Mus musculus: one gene and its partners. The protein of the gene in region 3 purifies or fractionates together with the protein of the main gene of each other region. This does not show direct contact. Links are inferred from orthologs where the notes say so. Each region holds a gene or a part of one and is shown on either strand. Other genes may lie near its edges.

Region 1 (5,872 bases), on a different chromosome or scaffold from region 3:
GGCTGCCTGTAGCAGCCTGAACAAGCAGGAGCCTGGGGGTAGCCATATGTCAGAAACTGAAGACACTGGGAGAAGCCATCCTAGCAAGAAAGAACCATCAGGCAAGTCTCACAGACACAAGAAGAAAAAGAAACACAAAAAATCCAGCAAGCACAAACGTAAACACAAGGCTGACACGGAAGAGAAGAGTTCTAAGGCAGAGTCTGGGGAGAAATCTAAGAAGCGCAAGAAACGAAAACGGAAGAAGAACAAATCATCAGCCGCAGCTGATTCTGAACGCGGACCCAAATCAGAACCTCCTGGAAGCGGCAGCCCGGCACCACCGAGAAGGCGGCGCCGAGCTCAAGATGATTCCCAGCGGAGATCCCTTCCTGCTGAAGAAGGAAACAGTGGCAAGAAGGATGATGGTGGGGGTGGTAGCAGTTGCCAAGATCACAGTGGGAGGAAACACAAAGGTGAACCACCAACTTCCTCCTGCCAGCGGAGAGCTAACACCAAACATAGCAGCCGGTCCAGCCATCGGAGCCAACCCAGTAGTGGTGATGAGGATAGTGATGATGCTTCCTCACACCGACTGCACCAGAAGTCTCCATCCCAGTACAGTGAGGAGGAGGAAGAGGAGGAGGAGGAAGAAGAGGAGGAAGATGAAGACTCCGGTAGTGAGCATTCTCGTAGCCGCTCTCGGTCTGGCCATCGCCATTCCTCACATCGTTCCTCCCGGCGCTCTTATTCTAGCAGCTCTGATGCCTCTTCAGACCAGAGCTGCTATAGTAGACAGCACAGTTACTCTGATGATAGCTATAGTGACTATAGCGACCGATCACGAAGGCACTCTAAGCGCTCTCACGATTCAGATGATTCAGACTATACCAGCTCCAAACACAGGTCTAAACGACACAAATACTCATCATCTGATGATGACTATAGCCTCAGTTGCAGCCAGTCCCGAAGCCGATCTCGGAGTCATACAAGGGAGCGATCAAGATCCCGGGGTCGAAGCCGCAGTAGCAGCTGTAGTCGCAGTCGAAGCAAGAGGAGAAGTCGCAGCACCACAGCCCACAGCTGGCAGCGAAGCCGAAGCTATAGCCGGGACCGGAGCCGCAGCACCAGGAGCCCTTCTCAGAGATCAGGCTCCAGAAAGGGCTCATGGGGTCATGAGAGCCCAGAGGAAAGGCGCTCTGGCCGCCGGGATTTCATTCGTTCAAAGATCTACCGCTCTCAATCCCCCCACTATTTCCAATCAGGTCGGGGAGAAGGTCCTGGAAAGAAAGAAGATGGCAGAGGAGATGACAGTAAAGGAGCAGGCCTGCCCTCCCAGAATAGCAATACTGGCACAGGAAGGGGGTCAGAAAGTGACTGCAGTCCTGAAGATAAGAATTCTGTTACTGCCAGACTGCTGCTAGAGAAGATCCAGTCCAGGAAAGTGGAGAGGAAACCCAATGTGTGCGAGGAGGTGCTGGCCACCCCTAATAAGGCTGGGCTCAAGTACAAGAACCCCCCACAAGGTTACTTTGGGCCTAAGCTCCCCCCGTCTCTTGGTAATAAGCCTGTTCTTCCAATGATAGGGAAGCTTCCAGCTACCCGGAAGTCCAATAAGAAATGTGAAGAGTCTGGCTTAGAAAGGGGAGAAGAGCAGGAACATTCAGAGCCAGAAGAAGGGTCCCCAAGGAGTAGTGATGCTCCATTTGGGCATCAGTTCTCAGAGGAAGCAGCTGGTCCCTTATCAGACCCTCCCCCAGAAGAGCCAAAGTCTGAAGAAGCTACTGCTGATCACTCTGTGGCTCCGCTAGGCACCCCAGCCCACACTGACTGCTACCCTGGGGATCCAGCCATCTCCCATAACTACCTCCCGGACCCCAGTGATGGGGATACTCTGGAGTCTCTGGATAGTGGCAGTCAACCAGGCCCTGTGGAATCCAGCTTGCTGCCTATAGCCCCAGACCTTGAGCACTTCCCCAATTATGCACCTCCCAGTGGGGAACCTAGTATTGAATCAACAGATGGGACTGAGGATGCCTCCTTGGCTCCTCTCGAGAGCCAGCCCATCACCTTCACCCCTGAGGAGATGGAGAAGTACAGCAAGCTCCAGCAGGCTGCACAGCAGCACATCCAGCAGCAGCTTCTGGCCAAACAAGTGAAGGCCTTTCCAGCCTCCACCGCCCTAGCTCCAGCCACACCAGCCCTGCAGCCCATCCACATTCAGCAGCCAGCCACAGCCTCTGCCACCTCCATCACCACTGTTCAGCATGCCATCCTACAGCATCATGCTGCAGCCGCTGCTGCCGCCATTGGCATTCACCCTCACCCCCACCCTCAGCCGCTTGCTCAAGTACATCATATTCCCCAGCCCCATCTAACCCCTATTTCTTTGTCCCATCTCACTCACTCAATTATCCCTGGCCACCCTGCCACCTTTCTTGCTAGCCACCCTATCCATATAATTCCTGCCTCAGCCATCCATCCTGGGCCCTTCACCTTTCATCCCGTCCCACACGCTGCCCTCTACCCCACCCTGCTTGCCCCACGGCCTGCTGCAGCAGCTGCCACAGCCCTCCATCTTCACCCACTGCTTCACCCCATCTTCTCAGGTCAGGACCTGCAGCACCCTCCCAGCCATGGGACTTGAGTTGGGAGTCGGAAGCCTGTGTTGAGCCAGGGAAGGTGGCCTGTTCTTCCCTTGGGGGTGTTGAGCCATTTATACCAGCAGGTAAAAGCTGGAACGGGCAGTGTCTTGACAGCCAAAGAAATGAGTTTTGGCTTGCAGGGATGGATTTAGATTTGAGGTTTGCTTTGGGTTTACTATCAGGGATATTTACCCCCTTTCTATTAGTCCCTCCCTCCTGTGTTTCTAAGCTAGGGAACACCAGTAAGTGCTACCCACACTCCTCTGCAGCAACATCTCCAGACTGTCAAGTAAGCCTCCTTCCTCCCTCTACTTTCTGATCCTCTGCACTTCCCCTCTGTAAGTTCAAAACATTTTCCTCCTCTAATGGGTTGTCACCAAAGCACTTGCCATGGGCCCATCTGGTCCTGCCTTCTCAGTGCCACGAGAAAGGCCAGGCTGTCTCTTCAGTGGTGAAAACTCCACTTTTCGGCAGTGTCTTTGACTATCCGTTTGTGACACGTTATCCCAGGTGAGGTGGAAGAGGGAGTCTAACCTAGAACCAAAAGCAACTCAGGCTGCAATTTGATCCACTTTCCTTACAAACAGAGCCATGCATTTGGCACTACTGTCCTCATGCCCCTCATCCCAGAAGAGGCATCTACATATCCCAGAAAAGAAGATCCTATCGTGAGTAGAAGCTACACTGAACATAGGGTCACCCATGTGCTTCCCAGAAAGGAGCTCGTGTCTGAAGGGTATATTTCCTTCTGTTATGTTGATGTTTTCTTCTTAATTTATAGGATTTTTTAATGTAAAATTGCACTGAACTCTATAAACATAAATGCTGCTTTTTGTAGCTCATATTAAAAAGGTTCCGTATTTGTAGTATACTGCAATAATATTTTTTACATCCAGCTCTTTAAGTGATCCTTGTTCTGGTGGCTTTCTGTAAATATGTTTGCCCTAGTTGAATTAAGAAACTTTAAAGGTTATAAAAGAAAAAAAAATAAAATATTTGTTTTCTGCTAGATGCAAAAATGACTAAGCATGTATATTTTATCAACCTCCTGTATTTTTTGAAGTTATGAACTATATAAAAATGTTGACACTTTTTTTTGTTTTGTTTTGTTTGCTGGGACAGTGTTAAATAATTTGCAGTAGTTGGTTCATCCTGCACTGGGACTCTCGGGTTGATGAGCAGCAGGCGGCTGCTGCTGTCAGGAGGATGCACAGTTGCAGTGGTCTCCCTGACGTGCTTTGTTATACAGAGAAACCGTGGACTCCATGGAGGAGGGGAGGATTGGTTCAACAGCTTTATTCTCTGGAAGCAGTGACACTCGGTGATTGTCTGGGAAAAGGGGTCCTTTGGTTTCCCTGGGTACCTTGTTCCAGACAGTCTTATTTGCCTTCCTAGTATTTAGCCCCCTCTGACAATTTTTTAAATGTGCCTTGTGGGTTGGCTAGACACTAAAATAGAAGTAGACCAGAGGATACTAGAGTTGGGACAGTTCTCTCTTTGTTGGGAGGTGAGCACGTTTATAGGTAGAGAGATTTTTGGCTTCAAAGTTCTGTGCCGTCTGCCCAGCTCGATTGCTATTTCAGCAGTAGAGGTTCCTTTTTTTTTTTTTCTCCAGTGACACTGACCAGAAGTCTGTCCATCCCTCTCCCCTTTGCCCTTCCCCCAGGCTCTCAGCCCTCCTTAACACTGACCCAAAGGTGCTTGTAATGCAGGTCTCATCTCCTTTGTTAGTGCTCTTCCTATGACTAGAACTGGTTAAGCAGTCAACTGACTGTTAACCCTGCTTGCCTAGGCCAAGGTTCTCTGTTCCTGCCTTCTCAAATTCCCAGCAGAGTGGGCTGTGTTAGGGAAGTGAGTGCTGGGCACTTGAGGCCCGTCCCTGCCTGAGCTTCTCCTACCTTCTGCTCATTGTCCCCTTACAAGTATCACTTTTAGGATAACTAGCCCTGGAAAAACGGTATCTGTTTGAAGTGAAGGGACTGGTTCTTCTTGCTTTCAGCCCGTGTAAATATTTAAATAAAACAGTATTAACATTTTTGTGCTGCTTCTCGTTAGGTTGTAGATCTAGCCATGCTCTGGCCGCCTCTGCCATCCTGGAGGTAGTTTTCCTTAACTTCCAGAATAGTGATTTTAAAACTTTAAAAAAAAAAAGGGGGGGGGATAACCTATCCTTACATACAAGCATAACAGATTGTATCTAACTTTATCACATATGATAGAGATGTATATGCTGTAAAGTGAGGGGAAGGAGCTTTCTAATAAACCAGTGCTTTGTGCAAACTTAGTGGAGTCTGTTGTGATTGCTGCTGCATAGGCTGGGGCAGGTGGGAGTGTGGGTTACAAACAGTGTCCTGTTGGACGCAGTCTGATAATGGGCCCTCTAGGCTAGCTTGAAATGTTGAAAATTGTTATGAGCACTCAGGTAGCCCATGATCAGGATTAGTTTACCTTAAGATGCTTTACCTGGATGCTTTTCCAGTCTTAGGCAGGTGACTGGAAGTGTGCACTTAAGATTCATCTGCTGAGCCTTTGACCTCCAGGTGAAATTCTGTATTACCAGGCTTGAGTTACCATAGTCAACTCTGATTACCGCTGTAATGTTGGAGTGCTTCTGCCTGGCCTATAAGCCTGAAGCCAGCAAAAGTCTTCATCCACACCAGGAAGTCACATCAGGAGGGGCAGGGAGAGCTGGCATGGAAGGGGTCCAGTGATGGCTTCCCTCTTCCTCAGTATCTCAGAGCTGTGTGATGTCTGTCTCCTCCCTTATTTGGATACAGTTGTTTGCTCTCTAGCTACCACAGCTGAGTGCTCAGAACTGTGCTTCAAATGCCAAGCATCTTTGTTCAGACAGTGATAGAAATTGAAAAGTGCATTTCTGAGAGCAAGGAAGGTGGCAAGCAGAAAAGACAAGGCCGCATAGCCTGAGCTCTGTCAAGTCAGTTGTTTTATTCTGATAAGGGCTCAGCCAAGCTAGTCTTGAAACATGAAAGTACTCCCTCTTACACCCTGGAGGACTATTTATCTATTCTTGTTGCCACAGAAAGCTCCACCTCACCCACACCAACTCAACCAGCTCTTTCCTAGCTGGCGTTCCTTGGCTAGAATCTAACCCCCTGCCCCATTAAAGCGTTGCATCTTTTCTGAACCCAAGTGCCATTCATCCTACATTCAGTGCTTCAAGTAAAGTAGCGCACGCCTTTAATCCCAGCACTCAGGAGGCAGAGGCAGGTGGACTTCTGAGTTCATAG
Region 2 (5,872 bases), on a different chromosome or scaffold from region 3:
GAAACATGACTTTTTAAATCTCACGTGATAATGTCTCCCCAGTGAGATTGGCTACAACGCCCATCTAAGTCTAATTCTACAAGGCAAGAATACCCCGCTACTGACTGTGAGAATTTATGCCTGGCTAATCCTGAAAAACATGGAATTTTGATTACAATAGATATGCACATACAACACACCCCACTAGTCACAGCCAATCAATCACTCAGAATCAGAGACATCAGTGCTGACAAACTGTAAGGGCCAGGTGGAAGGCCTCTTTATACTCCTGAGGAAAGCGAGGCATTTCTCTCTAAGCACAAAGGATATTCTGTACTCCTTCAGTTCCTCTAGTTCTTCTTCTCGCCGCTGCTTCTCTATCAGCTCCTGCTGCCGAGAAACCTCATCAAGGAAGTTGGTCTCATCTTCGTCTAACCCTCTTACCATGTTTTCTGAGGAAATAAGTGAACAAGAAGCACTAAGGAGACTGAGACAAACAACCTTCTCTGACCTTCCCTCCCCACACGTTTATTCTGTGTTCGGTGCGTGTGCACATGCTCCAGGGCACACACGTGACGGCTAAGGGATAGCCCTTGGGAGTCGATTCTCTCCTTCCAACTGTGGGATCTGGGGATCAACGCAGGTTGTTAGCTCACACAACCAGCACTGGTACTCATGAACCATACTGCTGGCCGTTTTCCTTTTTAAACAAGCAGCAGATTCTTTGGGCAATTACAAGGAAGAATTATTAAACACCATAATTTTAATAAATAGCATGGCATCAAGTCAAAGCATTTCTCACATTACTAGAAATTAGCACAGAATTCAAATCATATCTTAAGCTCTAAGTCAGAAGGAAGGCAGAAGATGGTCTTTTATCCACTGAATTGAGCTCCTGGAGGCTGGATAATCAAGATATTCTATTGCTAGTAACAAAGATGGTTTCACGAGGCTAAAGTACATCAAAAGGCTCAGTGAGTCCCTCAAACGTCCATTTTCAGAAGCTTACTGAATTTGAATTGCTCCTCATACTCCTGCTGCTTCCTGTCTTTCTGTTCCTGCAGCCGTTCGTACAGAGACCGAGGGTCATACGCCTCCTCTGGACATTCTGAAAGGGACACGGGATAAAGGAGACACAGAATTTAGGTTGTTTCATATTATTTTGGAATCACAAAGAGTTGGAAAAATAGTTAAGTCTCTATATATCTGAGGGTGAAAATAACACAAAGTCTAGTTTCCCTTTGCACCTCATACAGAAGGGGGCAGGCGGTTTTCAAAGACAACTATTAATGTCACGTTACTAACTGGATGGGCAGCCAGTTCAAACCTATTAGCAGCATCTCAGTTCAAACTGCCCCTCCACTTGTAGCAAGCAAGCAACTAGCAGAATCTCCTGGCAGGCGCTATGGTGGGGGGAGGAGGGTAAATACGGAGTACTGGTTCTGCTGTGGAGAATTCATATAGCTTACTTCACCCTGGGAGCCTCTAGTGAGGACAGTTATCACCTTCTTGGCAGAGTTTTTGCGAAGATTAAAGAGTTAAATGAGGGGCTGGAGCGCTGGTTCAGTGGTTAAGGGTACTTGCTGCTCTTCCAGAGGATTTGAGTTCAATTCCCAGCAACCACATGGTGGCCCACAACTGTCTTTAACTCCAGTTCTAGGGCATCTGACACCCTCATACAGACACACATGCAGGCAAAACACCAATACATATAAAAACAAATTATTGTTTTTTAGAAAAAGGTTAAATGAATGATGTCCAACTCTAGGTCTATCTACGTACCTTTTGGGTCTTCTGGTTTTCGCACTTTCTCCCATTCTTCTTGCCTCCTTTTGCGCCGCTCATCTAGCTCTGCCTCAGACACAAACCTCTTTTTGATGACAAGGTTACTATCGTCCTCTCCATCCATAATGGTACAGTCTACAGAAAAAAAAAAAAAAAAAAAATCAAAGGAGAACTACAATTCAAATCCTTAGGAGCAGGGTAGGGATGTAGCTCGGCTGGTACAATGCTTGCCTAGCATCCCTGCACCACATACACCGGTGTGATAGTGCACACCTATGTTCGGCACTGGAGACGTGGGGTTTATTCTGGCTTATCAGACAGCACACATCTGTGCTATCCACAGTCACTGAGAGATTCTAGGATCACTCTGACATTGCGTTCCACAGCATGTCACACGGAAGCTATTTCCCTGTCGCAGCACTCTAGACAAATGGGCCTTCTGGGCTCCACACCTGTTCTCAGCTCACATCCTGCTTCACAGCTATAAGATTTGCCACCTTCTTTCAGCTGCCATCTCACTGCCTTGATTTACCTGTTCTTGCTTCCAAAGCAGATTCTAATGGAGACTCTCAGGTACTCAAGGCGCTTTAGCAGTCAAGTCCCGTCTATGAAGGAGGGAGGTGGCAGATCTAGGACAACAAGACACGAGTGTAAAGAGTGGAAGCAGAAGAGCCAGGCCCACCTGACGTTCAGCCCAACGCTCTCCACAGTAAGCAGCTGCTGCCATCGACCCTGCCTGTCGTCCCTGTGAAGCAGTGGCCCTCTTTACCCCTACAGGCCCGAGCCCTTAATGCATATACTGATGTAGAAGACACCAAACTTCCTCTCTTCTTTTTCTTCAACTCTTCGGAGAAGCAGGAAGAAGGAAATAAAGATGGGGACGTCTTTTCCTTTTAAAAGTCAACATTTTGGAGCTGGGGTGTAACTCAGTGCCATAGCACTTGCCTAGGATGTACAAACCTTGGGTTGCTGGCTTTTTATTTTTTTTCTGAAGAATTACGGTTAATCGTCTACTCAGACATATTCTGTGTTCGCTACAATATTACCAAAGAGGCACGAATGCAACCCAACCCAATGTCTATTCCTAGATAACCTTTGACAACCCATCTAACAGTTCATTAGAAACTAAGTCTGGGGCTAAAGAGAGGGCTCAGTGATTAAGAGCTCTGACTTCCTCCTAGTTCAATTCCCAGTCCCTACATTTTAGCTTAAAACTGTCTATAATGCTAGCCCCAGGTGATACACTCCTTCTTCTGGCTTTGGTGCATACATATTACCATATGTATGCCACAGACATACATGTAGGCAAAATACCCATACATAAAAAAATAAATAATTTTTAAAAAAGTCTGCAGCCTCAAAAAGCAACTAACAATTTAAAGCGCTTCGCCTGTGTTATGTACTTTTTGCATGTTATCGAGTTTCTCTGCATATAGAGCCCATGAGAAAGACTCTTCACAGATGAAGCTGACCCCCAGGCTCAGTGAGCTGCTCAAAGCATATAGGCAGCAAGTGGCAGAGGTAAGGATCAAGTCCAAACAGCCGGGCATGGTGGCACACGCCTTTAATCCTATCACTTGGGGGGCAGAAGCAGGTGGATTTCTGAGTTCTAGGCCAGCCTGGTCTACAGAGTGAGTTCCAGGACAGCCAGGGCTACACAGAGAAACCGTCTCGAAAAACCAAAAAAAAAAAAAAAAAGAAAAGAAAAGAAAGGATCAAGTTCAAGTCTGACATCTAATTTTCATATTCTCAGCTAGGTGTGATAGCACATGACTGTAAACCCTATGCTCATGAAGACTGGAGGAGGATCATAAGTTCAAGATGAGCCTAGAATACACAGCAATATTCAAGGCCAGCCTGCACTAACTACATAATGATACCTTAAGAAATCACATTTGCATCCATCTCCTCCTCCTCCTCCTCCTCCTCCTCCTCCTCCTCCTCCTCCTCCTCCTCCTCAACCACGTGGTCTCAGATAAACAAAGACATGGCTGGACATGGTAACCAATCCCTGCAGTCTCAGCCCTCGGAAAGTTAGGGCAAGAAAAGTGGGCTAGAGGCCCATCTGGCATGTGCCACGCAGTGAGACCTTATTTCAAAAGCCTAAGGGCTGGGGTCTTACTTTTCTCTTGCTGTGAAAACACAACGTGATTGAAGCAACTGATAGAAGGCAGGTTTTAATTTGGGGATCAAGTTTCCAGGGAGTTAGAGCCCATCACCATCAGGGTGAGGAGCATGGCAACAGGCAGGCAGCCAGGCACGGCGCTGAGGCAGTAGCTGAGAGATCTTACATCTTGATCCATAAACACAAGGCAGACAGCGAGGTAACTGGGAATGCAGAGGGGCTTTAACCTCAAAGCTCACTTCCAGTGACCTCCTTCAAACAGGCCTCACCTAATCCTTCCCAAACAGTTCAACCAACTAGGCGTTCAAATATGCGCCTAGAGAGACAGACCATTCTCATTCAAACTACTATGTTGGGAATGCAGGCTCTGGGTTCACTCTTCAGCCTGGGGAGAAACACACGAGAAAACAAGGGCACATCAATTTCAGCTATATTTTCAAATTCCAGTGCCCAGAATGCAAAGTTTTTGTTTGGTAAAGATATTAAAAAAAAAAAAAAAAAAAAAAAAAAGGAATTAGGGCATTAAAACCAAACATTCAAAACAGAAGAAATCATCTCAGCCTGAATCCATCCTACTGTTGAGGTTTAGTTCCATGTGAAAAATGAGAACTGTTGACAATCACTAGAAAGAAAACTAAGTCACCTGAGAGAAGGCTTTACCCCACCTGGCCCACAGTGCACTTCTTCAGATATAGGGATGTGGTACCGCTCGATGCCTGCAGCCAGGTACTCAGGACAAAAGCAGGATTACCTTGTCTCTGTGACTTAGCAGAATTCCTCAAGCTCTTTGGAGCAATTTCTAAGGAGAAAGAGCCAACAGCTTATGAAATGTCCCCAGCAAAGAATGTGAGCCATGCAGGCACTGGGGAAATGGGAGTCACGCTGGACCCTTGCTTTCTCCTTTCTACCATTTGCTGTACGTCTCCCTTCCCACCCTGTATCAAGTGTCTACTTTCCTCCCCCTACTCCTATTTCCTCCCCCTACTCCTAGTAAATAACTCACGACAGGACAGGCCCTCACAGCCTCCTCCTGGCATCAGAATCCATCACACACATCAAAAACAGCATCAGCAATTCCTATTTTAGACCTTCAAGACAGGCCCCCGTGCTCCATTTCCAGGGAACCAGCTCCCTCTCCACTTTACAGTTCTTGCTCTGAAATTTCTGTTCCTATGGAATCCACACATAAATTTTGAGATGACAAAAGGTGACTCTTCTCCAACACAACAAGGCTTTATTATAAAAAGGTAATCCTACTCTAAACTTGCTGCTTTTCAAAGGAAAACATCCAGTATTCTAATCTTACAAGATGGATATAAACGTGCTTCAAAGCAGTGGAACTTGCCTGGCTTGGTGGCACATGTATGCCTGTAATCCTAGCACAAGAGACAGATATAGGAGGATCAAGAGTTCAAGGCCACTCTTGAATACCTGAGACATATCTCAAAAAACAGGCCAGCAAATGCCTCAGAGAGTAACCACGTGTGCTGCCAAGCCTGATGACCCGAGTGTAACTCCCAGAATCCACATGGTGGGAGGAAAAGGAGACTCCTTCCTGCAAGCTGTCCTCTGACACAGTTACAAAGAAGTGATGAATGACCAGCCAAACTCTGAGTACTCTGTATAATGCTCACAGTATTTCTTCTCTAAAAACTATTCGGGTCTCTTGAGAATTACAATCTTCTTTCAGTCAATAACTACAGCCATATAGGTTGGGTATGGCAGCTCATGTCTGTAATCCCAGCAATAGGGAGGCTGAGGCAGGAAGATTGTTAAATTCTAGGCCAGCTTGAGCTATATAATGATTTTGTTTCAAAATAATACTGCAAGACAAGCTAGCTTAACCTTATACATCTTTCAGTATAAGATTGCTCAATTCAACTAATCTATAGCAAGTGCCTTCTGTTGTGTTCTTCTTATTAAGGTGGGCACAGGCAATGACAAAGACCATGGGCTCTAACAGCAAAAGACTCAAGTTCAGAA
Region 3 (6,641 bases):
TTCATTCCAGGCAGGACAAAGCTAGATATAGCAGAGGAGAATTCAAGGGCAGACAGAAGAGAGAGCACTGGGGCCCACGAACCTGGGAGGGGAAAAGAAAGGTAGAGAGAAATAGAAGCTGTAGGAGTTGAGTACAAGCAGAACGGGACATCACCTTGGTGCCCTGGAGTCAAGCTACAGACCAGGCACACAGAAAAGGCTTGACAGGCCCAGGGCACAGGCTGGTGGAAGCTGGTGCTTTGGAGCAGTGGGTAAGCAGCAAGTCTCCTTCTGGGGGAGCGCAGGGCTGAGCAAGGGGTGGAGGAGCGGTTCCAAGGTTCCTCTCAACAGAGTACCACAGAGATGAGATGTGTATGCCGGGAGACGTTCATCAACCTAACTTTACTTCAGAACCAGTTCTTTTCTTCTGCTAGGTTTTATGAAGAGAGACAAGAGGACGAAGGTCTAATGGGAGACCATCCAGGAGGAAGGCCAAGCTGCAGCCTCTGGAGAGGACAGGGCTAGGAGACAGCTCCTATATCAGCTGTCAGCAAGAAGTCCTCTCTGTAGAGAGAGTGGGGGCTGTAGGCAGATGGCCCTGATTTTTCCTGTTAGGATGGTAGGCAGGAAGACGGTCTAAATTATCTCATTTCTGACACTTGGGGTAGGGCAGGAGATGGGAACTTTTTGAGGATGTCGGCCTTAAACTGGAGGATGCTATTTTCCCGTAGCCATGGAAACATGGCTGGGCAGCATTGGTAGGAGGTGACGACACCACAGAAACCTGTGAACGAAGGAAATTCTATCAGTGTGGGCCTGGCCTCAGGTGGGAGCTGCATCTTCTGACGCCTGGATATTTCAATCTTTGGCTTCTAGGCTGGAAACCAATGGGGCAGGACTCGGGCAGAAGCAGTTGAAATGGCTGTTGAATGTCTGTGGGGTTGGAAGGTGACTATGAGTCAGTTTGAGTTTGCAAAACATAATCACCCAGCTTTTTAACTCAACCGCTTTTACTTGGTTGGTGATGAAGATGCCGGGCCATTACGTCAGAACCAGAGGCAAAGCTCTCTAAAGGCAGTTTCATCACTGCAGGGGGGCCTAGGGAGCCACAGCACCTGGTGGGCGCGCATCCCGTACGGGGAGGGGACACCTGGGAAACCCTGGCTGTCCGCGTTGAGTCAGCAAGATCCTAAAGCTATGCCCCGCCCTGGCCGGCCGCCGCAGCCTCGCGGACCTCGCGTGGCGTGGGGCAATTAGGCGCGGCACCCGCCCGCTTGGCTGCGCGACGCGCGGGGGCGGGGACGCTGTCAAAGCGAGGCCCAACCAAAGGACCGCGACTTGTATTCTCTTCTGAAAAAAAAAAAAATAAGACCTCATGATCCTGCCACGACAAAGCGTTGGACAGTAGGTGGGAGGGGTCTAGACTGGGTGCCTCACGCCCGATGCCGCAGCGAAAGGACGGGCTGAGTGACTCGAGTGGCAGAGCGGGAGCGCGGCGCGGCTCGGGGCTTTTGTGTGGCGCGGGTTTCCTAGCAAGACTGACAGCAAGACGCTCTGAGGTGTTCAAGGGAAGGGGACGATTTCTCCGTCAGACCCCACCGCCGAGGCTCGCGGGGATCTTCCCGGAGACTGCTCGCTCGAGCCAGCTGGGGCGTGGCACCAGGACTTTCAAAAAACCCGCACAAGCCGAGAGCAGAATGTGTCGTTTGCTTCTTGCGCGCAAGCGGAGTCGCGCCCGCCTTCCTCTGCCCGGGCGCACCGACCGCCTTCGTCTCTAGCGCCCTCCCGGGCCCCGGGAGAACAATGCCGGTCCTCTCCGCGCGCAGGAAGAGGCTGGCGAGCACAGCTGGGCCGCGGCGGGGAAGCGGCCCCAGCCTGGCAGTCCGGTGGGTTCCTCCTTTAGGCCCAGAGCCGTCCTCAGACCGTGGTCGCGCACCGATGCGGCCTCGGGGGCCTACGTGCAGCACCACACGGAGAGGGGCAGGCCGCGGCCCGAGGCTGCTCCCGGGACCTCCGGGAAGAGACCTCCACCGATGTCGCCCGGACCCTGGCGGGGCAGGCCAGTCCCCCAGAGTCTGCGAGTTCGGGGCTAGAGCGGTCAGGCCTCTGGGCCGGGTCGAGCCCGGGCCGCCGACGGCTGCGTCACGCGAGGGGGCGGTGCTGCCACGGGCGGAGGCCAGAGCCGGAAGCGGAAGAGGCGCTCGGAGTGGGGAGTGGGGCCTAGCCGCAGCCGGAGCCTGGGAGACGGTGAGTGTGGGCCCGAGCCCGTGGCCGGGCAGCTGGGGTGAGTCGGTGGGGACGGCCACGCCGGTACGGGTACCGTGCCACCCGGTCGGGTCTCGGCTTGGACCTATTTCCCTCTTCGGCCCACGTCAGGCCGCGGTCCCGACCTCTCACCCCTGACCCGCCGCTTCTCTCCCTGAGGGCGGTCACTGCAGACCCCTTTTCTGGTTCCCGCGGTGTTGGAGGCGGAGCTCCAGCGGCCTCGGAGCCGGCTGGGAGGCTTCCCTTTGGGTCCCGCGCCGGCCCGCTGGCTGGGTCGCGTCCGACCTAGGCTATCCTGGAAAGGCTTTCCCTGCCCCGAGCTCGAGGCTTAGCCCGCAGATCTCCTTCGCGCGCCGCCTGGAGTTTGATTCTGGCCCAGGCTGGCCATCCCTTTGGTCGCCGGGTCTTCCCTTGGCGGTTACGGGGAACGGGGCTCTGAGATCCCTGGGATTCGGGCAGAAGGAAGGGACTCGAGTGCGGGCCGCCGGCCCCCTCCGTGTTTTGTTATGATGGAACCGCTCCATCCCGGAGAATGGGCCAGACCAAGCCAGGAGTACAAATGTCCAGGCTGCTCCTCGGTCCGGTCGGGAGCCTCTATGCTTTAGTTCCGGGTGCGGGTGCCCTGATGCTTGGGTGGGAATTGCCAGAGTCTAGCCCCCATCAAGGCGGAGTTGGCGGCCTTCCAGTTTCCCTCCTCCGTGCCCTTGAAAAGGAGGAGCGTTTTTGCCCGGTGGCAGCCGCAGATTGCGAGGTGGCAGGTTTGAGGTTGCAGTGGTGGGGCACTGCCAGCCAAAAATAACCATGGGTCGCTTGGGTGGCAGGAATCCGGGAGGGCAGCCGCTGACCTGGCTGGCTGCTCTTCTTGTTAGCCCGGTTCTCTAGCCAGGAACAGCAAATGAGAAGCCAGAGAGGCCTGTGCTCATAGAAAAATTGGCATCCAGTAACTTGGTCTCATTGGTCACATTGCCTTTTTCTTCATTGTTCAGAGCAGAGCCTCCCAAAGCATAATTGTGGCCTTTACGTTTTAAAAAGCTTCTTTGCCGAGGACTCATGGAATCGGAGAATTTGTGAGAAATAGGCTCAAACGACCTGGCTGGGAGGAGGACATGGGCCACCTGGTAGCTCCCATTTTTCACCTGCCTGGGATGCGTTGCAAGGGAGATTATCTCCATTACTGCCTATGTGTGGTACTTCATGGCCAAAATATTGGGCCATCTTTGCCAGTATGAGAGGTGTTATCTTCATTTTTCAGGCATGACAATTTAGGTCTAGAGTGACTTGTATAAGGCCACAGGGCCAGTAAGTGGCAACACTGGGATCGAGTTCAAGGTTTCCTGCCAAAACTTCCTACCCGGTCCCTTGGAAGGAATTATAAATTAAGGCATTCAACATAGCCCTGAGTGTTAGCCGGAACCTTCTCAGTGCTAATGAAAGGCTGTCTTTAGTACTTCTTGTGGCCCAAACCTGTGCTAGGCTTTTGACTTTATAGGGCAGACATTTAATTCCTATGGAGCCTGTAAGAGATTATTGTTCCCTTGTTTCAAGAGGAGGCTGAAGCTTAAAGTGGTTTAATAACTTGCCTAAAGGCAACAGTGAAGTGGTATTGCTGTGGAGCAGGTTGGCATTCGACTCTGAGGCTGTGACTTTCCACTCAAGTAGACATATGTGGTCATAGAAATCCACTTAGGTCCCAGAAGGAAAATTTTGGTCTGCTGTAGATTAGACCGCATTACAACATCCTCCAGATAGGATGCTTAGGGTGCTCTGTCTGCCTGGTGAGGATGGGCAGGACCACTTTGCCTTTTGGGAAGATGTATGCCTGGCCAGTAGGTTGTCTTTTGGGTCAGTTGGTGAGACATGGGCTACTGCTTTCAGGCTACAGCCTGAGCACCTGTCATAAGGTCATGGGGTGGGGGACATTCAGATAAGTGTGAAAACAACAGTGCCTTTCTTAGGGCTCCCAGAGGTTTACATAAATTGCCTCCCAATCCTGCTCATACACAAGTACCTATTTCATCTTTGGACTGTGCTGGTGAGATGGAGCAGCCTTGATGGATTTGTTTAAAAGGTGCTTGGCCAGGCAAGCCTAGGACTATGCACTACTAGAGGTTGGGTGTGAGCAATTGAAGGCTTGGAAAGCAAACAAGCTGTGCTCTCATGCCTGGCCATCTGGTGGACAAAATGTGAAGGGGCTGGATATGGGTGAAAACGGTGCCAGACTCACGTAGCCATCTCTCTGAACTGGCTGCTGATCCCATTTGGGAGTCTCCGGTATTGGATCTAAGTACTCCGTGGTTAAGGAATACTTGTCCTACTTCCCAGTGTAGACCTACAGCCACGTCTTCTTGGCTCCTTCAGAGATAGGGCACAAGAAAGAGTGCCGGAGTAGGAGGAGCTAGAAGGGATGGCTATGATGCTGTTAAAGAGGAAGCACCTGGTATGGGACTCTAGTTGGTCTGAGGGCCACTAAAATTTGCCTCAGGCAAGCAGCTTAGATACCTGATTGTGGCTCCTTTCTGGGCTGATACTCTGGATGGGTCAGCAAGAGCTGGGCAGGCCTTCTGGGCCCAGGCCCACTTGGCTGGAACCTGATAGGAGTAGGGACTATTGGTGAGACATTGTGTCTTTGCTCAAGGGTCAGAGTTCTCATTTCTACTGTGGTTCCTCACTGACTGAAGAGTTTTGAATTTCTTTGAGTTGAGTCCAGTTCATTGCTTTAGCCAGGCAAGTTTCAGTTTAGTACTTTGGCTCTGTGCCACCAGTTCATTAGCTCCAGGCTTCTAGAACATTTAGGTTATAGGATCCCATAGGCATGAAGAAATTGAGCAAAAAACCTCTCCATTCCTCCTGTCCTTGGCATCCCCGTGGCAGTGCTCAGCATCCCACTACATCTACTTCTGTATCTGGGCCCTGGCTTGCATAGTTTGAGTGTTCAGGCCCCTGGGCCAGGCTGGAGAGGCACCTGTTTGTTTATTCACTTGGCAGAGGAGGGAGTCATCCACCCATTGTCTGCTGTTCTGTCACTGTGACATCAGAGTTCTTCTTTACTTCATAAACCCCTGGGAGGGGCTACCCCTAAACAGAACAATGGGCCTCTTCTTCAGGAGCACCTGGCTGCACCAGGCAGCCCTGTGGCTGGAAGCAGTGAGCTGTGTGTTGAGCAGGGCTTTCTCTTTCTTGTGGCCTAGATGCATCACTGTAAGCGATACCGTTCCCCAGAGCCAGACCCATACCTGAGCTACCGCTGGAAGAGGAGGCGGTCTTACAGTCGGGAGCATGAAGGTCGACTACGATACCCATCCCGAAGGGAGCCTCCCCCACGGAGATCACGGTCCAGAAGGTGAGTGGGATCTGGGTGGGAAGAAGCTTTCCTCAGCTAGATGAGTAGAATGGCCCAGAGCTCTGCTGCTCTCAGGCTCCTTTAGATGGCTGCTTCTGCCCAGCCGCCCGTAGATTCTTGCCCTGACCTCTCTGGGATCCTTGCCTGTGCTTGCTTCCTTTTCCTGGCCTCAACAGAAGTTACCTTCCTTGTCATCCTTTCTTTCTTTGTCAGAGTGGTCTCTCTCCCTCTGTATTTTCTAGGCCAGTACCCTACCCCTGAGTCTTCCTCAGTAGAAGTAGGAACATCACCCTAGCCTTGAAAGACTGGTCCCAAGTCCTATCTAAGTCCCCAGACCAAAGTTACAGTTGTAGCAGCCTGGTCAACTCTGCTATTCTTGGAGGCCTTCCTGTGCTCCCCTTCTTCTTCCTCCCTCTGTGGCATTAGAGGGACACTGTGGCACTAGAGGGACACTGTCATTACCTAAGGCTCTGGAGAATAAGCTTTGTATCTTTGTACCTTCTCTTGCCCTGTTCACTCCCCCTCAGCCTGGATACTTCAGCTCTAACAGGCTTTCCTTGAGAGCCTTTGCAGGGGCCCTGCCAAAGGCCTCTTGCCTGCTGGCTAGTAGGAACCCTGCAGCAGGAACCTGGCTAGTAGGCCTTCTTGACTCATCTTGCTACCCCCTCTTGGCAGCCATGATCGTATACCCTACCAGCGGAGGTACCGGGAACACCGTGACAGTGATACGTATCGGTGTGAAGAGCGGAGCCCATCTTTTGGAGAGGACTGCTATGGGTCTTCACGTTCTCGACATCGGAGACGGTCACGAGAGAGGGCGCCGTACCGTACCCGCAAGCATGCCCACCACTGTCACAAACGCCGTACCAGGTCTTGTAGCAGTGCTTCCTCGGTGAGTGGTGGCCAGAGTGTGCTAATAGGGGCCTAAAGGCCTCACCTCTTTCTCGCTTCTCTCAGGCTAGCTGGTCTGGGTGAGTACTGGCAACCCTGTGTACATACACCATTGTGGGTACACACATGAGGTGTGTGTGTGCGTGTGTGCTGTCTGGTATAGGAC
Region 4 (5,872 bases), on a different chromosome or scaffold from region 3:
TACGTTAGTTTATAACTTTGTTACAAATACACACTGTCTCTGCCAGTGTTTCTTTTGAGGTGACTATGGCCCCATAGTTCTGCAGTTGTCCCACATGGTGTTCTTGTTCCAACCCCCTAATGTAAGTCAGTAGTAGATGTGACAGCATTTCTCAGTACAGAGGCTCATGAAGAGTAGCCTCAGGTCTCTGCTTTATAGTGCTATAAAAAACAAAACAAAACAAAACAAAACAAAACCCAGGGGCTGGTGAGATGGCTCAGTGGATTAGAGCACCCGACTGCTCTTCCGAAGGTCCAGAGTTCAAAAGGTCTGAAGTTCAAATCCCAGCAACCACATGGTGGCTCACAACCATCCGTAATGAGATCTGACTCCCTCTTCTGGAGTGTCTGAAGATAGCTACAGTGTACTTACATATAAATAAAATCTTAAAAAAAAAAAAAAACCCAAACAACAAACAAAAACCCCAATAATTGTGTTTAAAGACTGCTGGTAAAAGAAAGAAAAAGCAAAGAAAACTTGGGTTCCCTCCAAGTCCTTTTTTTTTTTTTTTTGAGGCAGGGCTTCACTGTGTTGCCCTAGTTGTTTGGAATTTGCTCTGTAGGCCAGGCTAGCCTCAAACTCACATACATACACTTGCCTCCAGAGCCCTGTGCTTAAAGGTGTGCCAACAAAGCTGGCTTCTGGCTTGGGTCTCCACACTACAAGGCAGAGACAGGAGTCAGCCACTTGCACAGCATCACTTGGCCCAGCAGAAGACTGCCCGCTCTGAACACTCATCGAGAAGCCCTTCACTTGATGTGGAGACAGCAGGAATTTGGAAGTGGGCTGGCAAGCAATGGGCACAGCACTCCGAAATTTCACTTAATGAGTGTGGGTGTCAGCCCTGGGGGATAAAGCACTGGTTCCTGGGTCCTGAGGAGACAGGGCTCTGGAGAGGCAGTAATTCCCTGGGGCAGCTGTAAGTGACATCTTATCACTGTGGCCACAAGGCTCAGTGTTTTCTCCTCATCAGGTTCTTGGGAGGGCCGAGCCTGGTCATCCATGCCGGTCTGCAGGGCCTTTTTGGTACCCAGCCAGTATCATTTTTTTTTTTTTTTTAGATTTATTTATTATTATATGTAAGTACACTGTAGCTGACTTCAGACGCACCAGAAGAGGGCATCAGATCTCATTATGGGTGGTTGTGAACCACCATGTAGTTGCTGGGATTTGAACTCAGGACCTCTGGAAGAGCAGTCAGTGCTCTTACCCGATGAACCATCTCGCCAGCCCCTCAGCCAGTATCATTAATGGCATCTTTATCTTGTTGCTCAGTTAATAGTGGTACTGATAAGTAATGATATATTTCTTGATAAAACCTTAAATATTAAACATTTATTTTGAGGATATTTGCTGTGAAAGCTGCTGTTTTAATTTAAAGAGCGAAAATGTTTTAAAACATTTTTAAGATTTGTTTTTATTTTTTATTTACTTATTTTATTTATGAGTACTCTGCACATGCGCACGTGCATGTCAGAAGAGAGCATCGGATCCCTGTACAGATGGCTGTGAGCCACCATGTAGGTGCTGGGAATTTAACTCAGAACCTTTGGAAAAGCAGCCAATGCTCTTAACTGCTGAGCCATCTCTCCAGCCTAAAAAAAATTTCAATTGAAAATTATAATTAAAACAATCAGGAGGAGACTTGCCTTCATTGTAGTTACATAAAAGCAGCCACAGCACGGCAACCTGAGAGAGATCATCCAAAGTGAACTGGGGGATCTGCAAGGCCTTTCCTGTCTCACCTGTCAGGGGGGAGCGGGCTGGAGCCGCCCCTGTGAACTCTGACCTGGGACACACACACTCGAGCGAGCCAGGTCTGGTCCACCTCGCCTGCTCCTGAGGAAGCTCCACCTGCTCACAGCACACAGAAGAGGCCTCTGCATTACCTCCTGCACACGAACTCACTCTGCTCACTAATCCTCCTACAGAGCACAGCAGGCCTGTGAGAACTGAGGGTGCGTCTCAGCACAGGGTGCTGATGGATACTGGGTAGGTATCCCCACATGGAAAGGACTTAGAGACTCACACACCTTGAAGTACACAGTTCCCTTCTCTTTCACGATGGCAGCCTGCGTCAGCTTTTCTTTGGTGTCCATCTCCCAAGATTCTTTGGCCTGTGTAGAGATTTGTGGCGTCAGTTAGCTGAGGAGAGGAGGAAACGCAGCAGTTCATGCCTGGGGGACAGCAGCGATCTCTATGAGACCCCAGCAACTGTGGGCCGCTGCTGGGATACCAGCAGGCCAATGCACCGGTGTTCCACTAAGAGCACATGCCATAGCAAGCTGTGGTCTGACCTGTGTTGTCCAAGGAACACAAGCACGGAGCACTCTCACAGACTGCATTTTGAGGGTGACAAAGCAAGCCTCCCTCCTTAGAGACACTGGGATCGTAACCTGGAGCCCCAAAGCTCCCTCACTATGGGCTGCTGTCACGTTAGCAGGCTGTTTCTGTCAGGCTTGCTTTCCAGCTTGGAAGTGAGATTGCTACTTATGGTCCAGGCCAAGCTGCACGTGCATGGAGCACTTCTAAAATCCCAGTTCAGGCAGCTGTCTCTGAATTCACAGAACCAGATGCAGTATGGCCTCTAACAGGATCAGTTTGCAGGTGTGGACCTGGGGAACTTTTTCTTTTCTTTTTTCCAGACAGCACTGCATGTATCTCAGGCAAGCCTCCATTTACTACGTAGCTGAGACTGACTTCTGATCCTCCCGAGTGACAGGATTAGATGGCAGGCATGCCATGTTGTCACAAAGCACGGAGAAGGGTAGAGGTTCCACTATGGAAAGGGCAGGGAAACTCGAGGCCCCGATAGTCCAGCGTGGACAGAGCATGGGGTCATTTCAGAGGAATAAAATCGTAATAAGAAAGGCGGTCTCTGAGGGGAGCCACAGCTGAGGATGACAGCTTACTCAGCTTATGGGGACACCGTGCAGTACAGGTGGGAGCCTGCAAAGACAGCCCAGAGTTGGAGGCTGTCCGAGGAGGTACACCAGCCTGAAGGCCACGGCAAGTTCCCTCTCCTGTTCTTGGACACGTATGAGAAACAGCCTGGGTACGTTTGTTTCTTCTCCTTGGTTGCAGCTGCTGGTCCCGAGGCTGAGACACTGGGATTGTAACCTGGAGCCCCAGCGGAGGCCTCTTTGTAACTCCTGTGGAGTGTGCAATTCCTTCAGCACTGAAAGGCTGCACCCCAACTCCCCTAAGGAGCTGCTTGGCAGTACGTGAACTTTTTTGTCCTCAACTCAGGAAAAAAAAGTACAAAAAGAACAAGCCTAGGAACAAATACAGGAACAAGTCTTGGATTCTACCCAAAAGTTAAAAGAAAAAAAGAGGCTAACACACAGTAAAAAATAAGAACACCAGCTCCTCTCCTGTATCAACTGTGTTGTGTCAGCTTCCCACGCTCGGAGCAGAAGTGTGGGGGACAAGAGTCATGGATGAAGAAAAGCAAACACAGAAACAAACACTATTTAGCCAAGTCATCTACCGCACAGTTACAGGCACAGGATGAGAAGACCCCACACCACAGCTTTAGCGAAGTTGGGTTTGCTCACCTTCTCGAAGCTCTTAAGGGTGACCTCGTACATAAGCTCAGCATTGGGGTCAATGCCAAACTTAGGCTTCCCGGCTTCTCCAAAACCATAGCTGAAACGGAGAGGAAAAAACAAGACTCAGGAGGACTGGTATACTTCTTTGGTTTTCTGTGTGGAATCCCTGCTGTGGTTTCCTGAGACCTGCTGCATCGTGTTCTCTTAGCGCATGCTCTCTTAGCGCAGGCGCACAGTTCCTGTACTCCCTAGGACAGTGTGCTTAGCATGCTGTTCAATATCGATGCCTGGTTTTAGACTTTATTCTTTTCTGTTTGGTTACAAGGACTTTTTTCCTTTAAGCTTTATGAGCAGAAAGGACAGAAGAGTCTATTACTATAATTATTATAGTAGTAAAAATCACTATAATTCTGTTTGAATACTTTTAACATTTTTGCTATTTTATTACAATTGTTTTTACTGTTCTGTTACAGTTTCGTACTTGTATATAGAATTTCTCATTTTACCCCAGCTCCCTCACCACTCCCTCCCCCACAGGAACTCTTTCCCACATGTCCATGTGTACTCAAAACAAGCTTTTCACTTTAAGGAAGGGTCAACTTCCAAGAGTACTACCTCCAATCAGAAAAACTGCAGGGGGCAACACATTAGCAGAGACAACAGCTCTCATGATCCTAAAGTCTCGTGGCATTAAAGACTTTAAAAGGCACAAATACAAGGTGGTGGCACACATCTTCGATCCCAGCACTTGGGGGACAGAGGCAGATGGATGGATCTCTGTGAGTTCAAGGCCAGCCTGGTCTACAAAGTGAGTTGTGAGTTCCAGGACAGCCAGGGCTATACAGAGAAACCCGGTCTCGAAAAAAAAAAAAAAAAAAAAAAAAAAGAAAAGAAAAGGCACAGCTGGAGCAGAGGCACACAGAGCTGGGGAAGAACTGGGTGGCAGCCTTAACACCGTGCAGAGGGCATCACTCGAAAAGGGAGCAATGGCCAGTGGCAATGTTGGAAACGTAGCCAGGGTTTTTTCCCTGGAGTATGAATGTGTGTGTGTTGCCTGTGGTAAGGTCTGTCCCTCTCTTCGCTGCAAAGAAGGCATACAGATGGGTACTTCTCAAGTCTGTTGCTGAGAGCATGCTATGATTGGCAGTCTTTACCAGGGAGGAAAGAATATGACAGATGACCTGGCATCACTTTGGAACCATGTCACTTACCTGGATTGATGTTTAACCCTTCTTTGTCAGAGGAACATTAAGCAATGCCTAGAGTTGCTATTGGATGGCAGGTAGGTGTCAGACATATTACTGCACACCTTATGGGACAAGGACAACCCTCTTCTGCCACAACTGGGATCCACCACAAACATCCATAGTACTGAGGACATGAAAACCTGTCTAAAAGAAACTTACAGGCTGGAGAGATGGGCCAGTTGTTAAGAGCACTGACCTCTTTCAGAGGTCCTGAGTTCAATTTCCAGCAACTACATGGTGGCTCACAACCATCAGAAATGGAAGTCCAGAGTCAAGGCCTCTGGACGGCAGCTGCCTTGGAGGGAAGATACACTAAGGGCGTGGAGGGACAGCCAACCCTGCAGAACACAGCATTGTGAATGCCCTCGCCAGCTACTTCTTACAGGTGAGAGAGCGGAGGCCAGAGACATGTGCTTTCTGAGAGGTGATATAGAGGCAGAACCACATTCAGACCTTCCTGTCCTAAGATAACTAAGGCTGACACACACTGACCACTCTCAACAGCCTATGGTTTGTCTGGGACTGTTACAAAACAGGTATAAAGAAAAAGGAAGGAAAAAGTAGTCATCTATACTTAGCCTACATAGAAATCAGTCACAATATTTAATTATCTATTTGAGGAGAACAGCAAATTTTTAAAAATTGAGAAAAAAAATCTGAGGGTGCAATGTCTCAAATAGGGTACACCCTTGCCACAATATTCTAAAGAACACTACCAAGAAAAGATAGTGTTCCAGAGAGAGAGAAACTTGAATGCTTTATTAGTTTCTTATGAAAACGTCCTGCCAAGGAGCCTACAGATGTCAAGGTGGGGGTGAGGTTGGGGTAGGGTAGAAGGGAAATGCAGAAGACACTGAGTACGAATTCCATCTGCATTTTATAAGCAACCCAGACTCGGTGGACTCTGACTAGGACAAGCCAATCTGCTTAGGGATGCTCTACCTACATGGGCAGTGTGACACACACACATGGAGACAGTATGGAGAGCATTACATAGAATGTATTGGCAGAACTCCATGTACCAGCAAACGCCCT

The links.
Region 1: the proteins of Clk3 (region 3) and Gpatch8 purify together in Homo sapiens (affinity purification with mass spectrometry; 3 studies listed by BioGRID and IntAct, counting the BioPlex papers as one, with this or other methods). This does not show direct contact. The link is inferred for Mus musculus from reciprocal best matches to the Homo sapiens genes CLK3 and GPATCH8.
Region 2: the proteins of Clk3 (region 3) and Psme3ip1 purify together in Homo sapiens (affinity purification with mass spectrometry; 3 studies listed by BioGRID and IntAct, counting the BioPlex papers as one, with this or other methods). This does not show direct contact. The link is inferred for Mus musculus from reciprocal best matches to the Homo sapiens genes CLK3 and PSME3IP1.
Region 4: the proteins of Clk3 (region 3) and Fkbp5 purify together in Homo sapiens (affinity purification with mass spectrometry; 3 studies listed by BioGRID and IntAct, counting the BioPlex papers as one, with this or other methods). This does not show direct contact. The link is inferred for Mus musculus from reciprocal best matches to the Homo sapiens genes CLK3 and FKBP5.

What each region holds. Positions count from the first base shown.
Region 1 is NC_000077.6:102,474,947-102,480,818, reverse strand, and holds the end of Gpatch8 (G patch domain-containing protein 8), read left to right. Parts: coding exon 1-2,626; 3' UTR 2,627-4,904; downstream 4,905-5,872.
Region 2 is NC_000074.6:94,587,015-94,592,886, forward strand, and holds part of Psme3ip1 (PSME3-interacting protein), read right to left. Parts: intron 4,689-5,872; exon of another isoform or gene 4,555-4,688; intron 4,351-4,554; exon of another isoform or gene 4,159-4,350; intron 2,394-4,158; 5' UTR 2,297-2,393; intron 1,900-2,296; 5' UTR 1,889-1,899; coding exon 1,762-1,888; intron 1,088-1,761; coding exon 989-1,087; intron 432-988; coding exon 310-431; intron 1-309. UniProt on the Homo sapiens protein: Promotes the association of the proteasome activator complex subunit PSME3 with the 20S proteasome and regulates its activity.
Region 3 is NC_000075.6:57,760,659-57,767,299, reverse strand, and holds the start of Clk3 (dual specificity protein kinase CLK3), read left to right. Parts: upstream 1-2,185; 5' UTR 2,186-2,226; exon of another isoform or gene 2,227-2,263; intron 2,264-2,414; exon of another isoform or gene 2,415-4,312; intron 4,313-5,432; coding exon 5,433-5,584; intron 5,585-6,259; coding exon 6,260-6,476; intron 6,477-6,641. UniProt on the Homo sapiens protein: Dual specificity kinase acting on both serine/threonine and tyrosine-containing substrates. Phosphorylates serine- and arginine-rich (SR) proteins of the spliceosomal complex.
Region 4 is NC_000083.6:28,408,438-28,414,309, forward strand, and holds part of Fkbp5 (peptidyl-prolyl cis-trans isomerase FKBP5), read right to left. Parts: intron 3,688-5,872; coding exon 3,597-3,687; intron 2,157-3,596; coding exon 2,073-2,156; intron 1-2,072. UniProt on the Homo sapiens protein: Immunophilin protein with PPIase and co-chaperone activities. Component of unligated steroid receptors heterocomplexes through interaction with heat-shock protein 90 (HSP90).